2 linked regions of the Nothobranchius furzeri genome follow. The protein of the gene in region 2 purifies or fractionates together with the protein of the main gene of each other region. This does not show direct contact. Links are inferred from orthologs where the notes say so. Each region holds a gene or a part of one and is shown on either strand. Other genes may lie near its edges.

What was found. The genes of interacting proteins can lie anywhere in the genome.
Region 1: the proteins of lrrk2 (region 2) and slc25a11 purify together in Homo sapiens (co-immunoprecipitation; 3 studies listed by IntAct, with this or other methods). This does not show direct contact. The link is inferred for Nothobranchius furzeri from reciprocal best matches to the Homo sapiens genes LRRK2 and SLC25A11.

The regions. Positions count from the first base shown.
Region 1 is NC_091742.1:101,986,714-101,990,365, forward strand, and holds part of slc25a11 (mitochondrial 2-oxoglutarate/malate carrier protein), read right to left. Parts: intron 2,979-3,652; coding exon 2,861-2,978; intron 2,637-2,860; coding exon 2,548-2,636; intron 2,388-2,547; coding exon 2,297-2,387; intron 2,210-2,296; coding exon 2,119-2,209; intron 1-2,118. UniProt on the Homo sapiens protein: Catalyzes the transport of 2-oxoglutarate (alpha-oxoglutarate) across the inner mitochondrial membrane in an electroneutral exchange for malate.
Region 2 is NC_091744.1:48,478,063-48,481,714, reverse strand, and holds part of lrrk2 (leucine-rich repeat serine/threonine-protein kinase 2), read right to left. Parts: coding exon 3,567-3,652; intron 3,450-3,566; coding exon 3,322-3,449; intron 3,206-3,321; coding exon 2,987-3,205; intron 2,914-2,986; coding exon 2,712-2,913; intron 2,411-2,711; coding exon 2,322-2,410; intron 631-2,321; coding exon 443-630; intron 367-442; coding exon 212-366; intron 119-211; coding exon 1-118. UniProt on the Homo sapiens protein: Serine/threonine-protein kinase which phosphorylates a broad range of proteins involved in multiple processes such as neuronal plasticity, innate immunity, autophagy, and vesicle trafficking.

The sequences.
Region 1 (3,652 bases), on a different chromosome or scaffold from region 2:
GCAAAACGTACTGCTTCCAGATCAGGAGAATGACTGAGCTTGTTGGCTACAAAGTCCATTTTCTCACTTATCTAACTCTGGGAAATCTAACAGACAACGTTTTCCTAAGGGGTGGAATATTGCCTCAGGTGTCAACAATGAGAAAAGGCCTGATTCTTTTATCAGCTTATAAAAATATTTCAGTCGATGGCCAATGTAGAAAAAATTGAATAGATATATCGGCTGGCCTCTATTGTGGACAATTTGGTTGCGTTCGGGTGTGCGTGAGACAGTGAGTCCGAGTGGGCCAGGCCCCGTGCCTCTATTGCTGAGGCTGCCGATCATAGCTGTGGCCACGGGGTCATCAGTCTCAGTCGTGGCAGCAATCCCCGAACCCGCTGGTGGACACAGATGGTTAGGGAGGCTGTCCAGCCGAAGAAAGAGTCTTATCAGGTCTCTCTGGCCTGTGGGACTTCAGAGGCAGCTGATGGGTACCAGCACGCCAAGCGGAATGTGGCCCCGGTGGTCACAGAGGCAAAAACCTGGGCGTGAGAGGAGTTTGGTGAGATGAAATCCTCCCAGAGTTTCTTAAGGCTCTGGATGCCGTAGGGCTGGGTTGGCTAAAGTGGCTCTGGAATATTGCGTGAACATCAAGGGCAGTTTCACTGGATTAGAGGACCGGGGTGGTGGTCTCCCTATTTAAAAAGGGGGACCGCAGGATGCATTCTAACTGCATGGGAAACACACTGCTGAGCCTGCCTGGTAAGGTCTATTAAGGGGTTCTGGAGAGGAGGGTCCGGCGGAATGTGAAACTTTGGATTCAGGAGGAGCAATGTGTTTTTCATCCTCGCTGTGGAACACTGGACCATCTCCATACCCTTAGGGTGGTCCTGAAGGGTGCGTGGGAGTTTGCCCAACCAATCAGTTATCTGATTGGTCCATACGTTCCTAACCGAGCACTTCGCTCTCAGACTGCAGGTTTACTGGTGGTTCCCAGAATATCTAAAATTAGGATGGGAGGCAGATCTTTTAGTTATCAGGCTCCTCTCCTGTGGAACCAGCTCCCAGCTTTAGTCCGTGAGGCAGACACTTTGTCTACTTTTAAGAATAGGCTTAAAACATTTTTATGTGATAGGGTCTATGGTTAAAATCTGATGTTAGCCTAAATCTGGACAAGTGGGGGAGTAGAGGGAGGTGGAGTGTACAGTCGGTAAAGACGGCTCTCCCTTGCCCTGCCTCCAACATGCCTCCATCTAAATAGGATAGATTATCCAGAGTTATCTCTGTAGTTATGCTGCTATAGGCTTAGACTGCTGGAGGACACACTGACCACTTCTCACACTCTACTACTTTATTCTACAATCTGCTCTTTAACTGTATTATTTCCTGCTATTTCAGCTGTTAACTTTATTTTCTCTGTAAGTGTTTTTCTCCCCAGAAGAAGCTACAACGATGTTCTGCTGAGCTGTGGTGGCCTCATGGAGGGGGCCATCGACTAGCACACTGCTGCTAACCACTTAAACATTCTCCCTCTCCTGATAATAACTTTTTACTTTCCTTGACGTTGGATGTGCTACTACTAGTTTATCCGTTTAATTATAGATCCACTAGGATAAATACAATAAAGTTTATCTCTCACCAAATACAATATTTACTAAGATATATATATATATAGGGAGGAGCTTGACCATGTAGAGCCCTGAAAGTTCTAGTCAGAACTCTAAAGTTAACGGGTAACCAGTGCAGAGACACCAGAACAGGAGTGATGTGAGCTCTTCTGTTTGCTCCAGTTAGGAGCCTAGCTGCAGAGATCTGGACCACCTGAAGGCGGTCAAGGGCTTTTTTGTGAGAACATGTGGAGAGTGTGTTACAGTTATCTAGACGGGGAGGAGATGGAGAACCATTTCAAGTTCTTAAATGATAAAAACAGTTTCGGATCAACGTGGCCTTCAAGAGACATTGGTTGGTCAAAACACCCAAATTCCTTAAGTTTGTGTTGATGGCAGAAGATACATGACCAAGTTTTAGACTAATCATACATACTGTCTGTATGTATGTGTGTGCGCGTGCGTGCGTGTGTGTGTGTGTGTGTGTGTGTGTGTGTGTGTGTGTGTGTGTGTGTGTGTGTAAGATGATCACCTGAGTCCAGCAGAGCCTGTTTGGACTGAGAGTAGGAGGCTAGCTGAGCTGCATTCACAACCACCGCCCGGGCCATGGTGGGAACACACCCCTGAAACACACACACACATTGTCACACACACACAAACACACACATTGTCACACACACACACACACACACACACACACACACACAGACCCTCCAGAGTGTAGTCACTCCCTCCTCTCTGGTGATGCGAGCGAGAGCGTTGAAGACATTGGTGTACCCTCTCCTCTGGTCAGCAGGAAGCCTGGAGACACAAATAAACTGTCCTGTGATCAGATTCGCACGTGCACACACACACACACACACACACACACACACACACACACACACACACACACACACATACACACACACACACACACACACACACACACACACACACAGACCATGAGCTCATGTCTCACCGGCCATCAGCCGTCATCCTGATCAGAGCAACCTCTGCTGGCGTTCCCACAAACGCTCCAGTGGCTCCAGCTGTCATCCCAATCAGAGCCTGTGGGAGGAGCAAAAGCACAGGTAGACCTCTCACCTGAGAAGGACAGCTCAACCAGGACACCAGCCTCAGGGCTTTGTTCTACACGTTCCTTAGGGCCTCTGATTGTATCTGTGTGTTCTGGTGTAAACGATGACCCACACCTGTTCAGCCCCTTGTGTGTACAAAGGTGCTTTATAAATAAAGTTTGACTTACTTCCACCAGCTGTGGGACAAGATCTCACCTTCAAGATGAAGTTGGGTGGCCGGCCGTCGGCTCCTGTCATCTTCTCAAACAGGATGGTGTAGATCCCCAGACGGGTGGTGGTGTAGGTGGCCTGACGGAGCAGACCTGCAGACAGCCTGAGACACGACCAGAGAGAAGGTGTGAGTACGGAGCAGCCAGAGGGACAAAATTCATACAGAGGTTAGAGACACCTGTTTACATCCATTCAGACCTCACACAGGTGTGGATCCGAGGCTCAGACCTCAGACAGGTGTGGATCCGAGGCTCAGACCTCAGAAAGGTGTGGAACCGAGGTTCTAAAAGACCTTACACAGGTGTGGATCTGAAGTTCTCTAAGACCTAACACAGGTGTGGATCTGAGGCTCAGACCTCACACAGGTGTGAATCCAAGGCTCACACAGGTGTGGATCTAAGGCTCACACAGGTGTGGATCCGAGGCTAACACAGGTGTGGATCCGAGGCTAACACAGGTGTGGATCCGAGGCTCACACAAGTGTAGATCCGAGACTAACACAGGTGTGGATCCGAGGCTCACACAGGTGTGGATCCGAGGCTAACACAGGTGTGGATCTGAGGCTCACACAGGTGTGGATCTGAGGCTCACACAAGTGTGGATCCGAGACTAACACAGGTGTGGATCCAAGGCTCAGACCTGAGACAGGTGTGGATCTGAGGCTCACACAGGTTTGGATCCGAGGCTAACACAGGTGTGGATCTGAGGCTCAGACCTGAGACAGGTGTGGATCCGAGGCTAACACAGGTGTGGATCCGAGGCTAACACAGGTGTGGA
Region 2 (3,652 bases):
ACAAAGCTGGAGGGACTTTGCTCCTCCGAGGCAGCCTCCACCAGACAGTAGGCCTCAGGGGACCAGTTTAAGTAAAGCCCTCTCCTCCAGTAGATTCGGTTTGGTCGGAGAACTTTCTCTATGAAAGTAAGGTGACAGAGTTCTACTATATTGCTGTTTGCTTAAGAAATGATGAAATTCTTTACAATGAAACAGAAGTTGCTCATTTTACCTCTTCCACCGAGCAAATAGGATGAGACTTCCAGCAGGCGGCTGATCTGCCTGGACCAGAAATCCATGGGGAAGTAGGGCAGCTCATACAGACGCACAATCACCTCAGAGTTCTCACAGTGAGGCAGCTCGATCACCGGCCTGTGTTTGGACAAGCTGCAGACAGCAGGGTGAGATGCTATAAAACTCAAGACTCTTTAATCGGGGCAAGTTCCAAAAAAGTGAAACTTACCTGCTAGGAACAAGAAGCTGGCCGTCCCCAAAGGGAAGAGCAATCAGAAACTTCTCCAGGAGTTTAAAGAACTGGACCAGGTGGCTCTTTGGGAAACATTTGGTCTCAAACAGAAACCTTTCCACCACGGATCGCTGAATAACTCCTTTGGGTTGCTCCCAGAGACTACAGCTCTTTAGCATCCCTCTCTGTAAAGAAGACAGAACTACTTACATGAGAGTTTTTCAGGGCATTTGAGGACAACTTAGATAGTTATATCTAAAAATGTTAGCTAAGGAAGTTTAAATAACCAACACCAGATGTGTGGATTTCACAGCTGAGCTGCTGGTTGGTAAAGGTGTACAGAGTCGGTCCATAAAGGAAACCAAGAAGACTAAAGCTATTTTTGAATTAAGGAGTTCTATCAAGAATTACATCAGACTCTTTACCTACAGTGGAATAAAATATGATAAAATTACTGTAACACGCCAGCAGGACCAAGTTGCTGCTAACAGACACTAGACAAACTCCGGTTTTTCACCCATAAGTTGGAGGATATTATAAACTAACCATTTCACTAAAACAGTATAGGTGAGAGTTTGGCAGACAAGTCTGGTTGGGTTTCATTTGATAATAGTTAAACATGGTTTCCTAGACACATTTAAATGGAGGTTAATTACAAAAAAAGAGGGACTCAAGGACTTGACCCTGTGGAACACCAATAATAACCTAGCATGGATGGGATTGGAGACTAAAGTCTAGTGTGTGGTTTTAGAGGTATAATTGTAGCTAAAGCTGGCTGGTAGTCCAGCATTGCCATGACAAACTAGACAATCAAGAGGTGGGTTATAAAGAGGGACCATTTCTCAATGAGACTATGTTCTTGGCTGGGACAGCAGAAAGTCTGTTCTATGGAGTACTGGAGGACGAAGACTGCATATGGAACAACCATACTCCATTACATCTTGGCAAAAAGCTTTTATACTACGGTTACAAAAAGGACCTGAAAGAACAGTAAAATTCTGGTTTGTCCCTTAAATATCAAAATAACAAGGAAAACCTTTTGTTTGTAGAATATTTGGTCAAATTTTTAATGCTACAGTGTGTCTTTCATTTATCTTTCTTCAAAACTGGTAAAATACCAGCATTTCACGCTGTTACATGAAGAAAAATAAGTTCGTTTTTTATCAAAACAGATATGCAAACACTGGTTTTATTCTGATAGTGGGTTAGCTAATTACCTGTCGTGGTTTAGTGAAGAGTCAGAAAAAGAGAAAAACAAACACAACCATTTCCCAGTCTACACACAATTATCTACAATAACAGACAATTTTATATTTATTTATTTAGACTTATTTGTATTTTTGATAATGAAACACTAGTTAGGAGCTTTGTCTTCCACAACTTTCCATTGGAGGTAGAACCATTTGCGATGCAATGCATTATGGGATAGCTTGCTGGCCCAAGTCCACAGAAGGCTGCGTTGATGCGTCCTCTATACAACGAGCAGAGCAAAAACACATCCTGGTATTTTTCTCCTTTTTTTCTTTATTTTCCTTTTTTTCTTTCTTTTTTTCCCTTCCTGGTATTTTAAGAGTACTTGCCATGATGCATACTCAGGTTTGGAACAGTACTTAAGCCAAAGTTGATGAGGTTTCACAAGGACGTGAGTGCACAAGTTCAGACGAGCATGCATGCTGATAAAAGACCCTGGTGTCAAAAGCATCAGACTGAAGGGAAAGAGCGTGATGCTAATGAAAACTCAGCTGCCATCAGCAGGTCACTGGTAGCCCAGAACCAGAATGAAACGTGTAAATGTTGTGATGATTGTTAACGTACTCAGCTACTTTTTATTTCAAAAAACGAAACAGCTTGGCTAGGGTCAGGGTAATGGACTTACCTCAGACAAGACGTTGCAGAGCCACTGTGGGATGAGAAAGTAGAATTCCTGCAGCTGAAGCGCAGGGTCATCAAAGTGCAACAGAATCCCTACAACAGCAAAAACAAATCAAAGACTTGATCAGTTTATTCACAACAATCTGTAACTAATCAGCAGGTGAGGTTCTAGATAAAATCTTTCATTTTGTGTTCCTCATTCCAAGAACGCTCCATTCTGACAGGCTGGAGTAAAGGGGAAAAATCAACACGGAGTTTTACAATAAGGAAACAATTCACCAAGGGTTTTATACCAAGTTTCTTCATATAAACAAACAATTCTAATTTGATCTGATGAATATGAGATTTTATCGTAGATTTGGCATTTTTATACACAGCTGTGCTCCTAACTGACCAACTTCGCTGAGGAAGTGGATAGCTTGAGGCAGTTCGGCTTCCTCCAGCTGCAGCTGACTCTTGTGGATGAGCTGCAGAAGCTCGCTGTGCCTGAGAACGGGGAACTCTGGGGGGACCTTGGTCCTCTCCTGCAGAATCCTGCGCTCCAGCTCCACATAGCTGTCTGGCACCAGCTGACCTATAACTTCCTGGCCTTGGATCTGGCAAATAAAGAGCAGATGACTTGAGATTAGACGATAAAACAAGAAATACATTTATCTGCTTCCTTTTTACCTTGAAGCTGGTGACCTCCCGGATGATAGTCTTACGGAGTTTGACGATGGAATCCGAGTCCTCGCAGGCAGAGACTATGTGATGGTCTCTGATGGCCGGGAAGCCCTGATAGTTCAGCAGCTCCTGTCGAAACTTACCGAGACAAGCCTGGAGCTGCGCTTCCTCACTCACATCTGTGTGTGTCCCCACGAGGATGACTGGGGACAGCGGAGCCACAGCCTGAAGTAAAGATGCAGGAAAACCATTCTCATCAATGTAGTTTAAATCAGGAAGTGGTACCTCTGATCTCTGTCAGCAGCACAGAGAAACAAGCTCAGCTTTGGTCTGTGGCTCACTTTAATGTTGAAGAGCCAGGGTTTGAGAGCATCCACCTGACTGGCTCCTTTGCTCAGGTTGTAAACAACCAGGTAGAGAGCTCTGGATGTCAGAAAGTGGGGGTGAGAGCCACTGAAGTCCTCTCCACCTGCAGGTTAAGGACATTAATAGAAATGATAGTTGGAAGAATGAGTTTATAAATGAGGCCCCTGATCTCTTTGATGACCTCTAGTCTAGTGGAGTCAGATTTCACATGCAGGCTGACCTGAGAAGTCCCAGACATTCAGGACCATTTTCTTCTTGTCCCATTCTCTGATGGTCCAGTCAGAGACTTCAACACCAACAGAACTC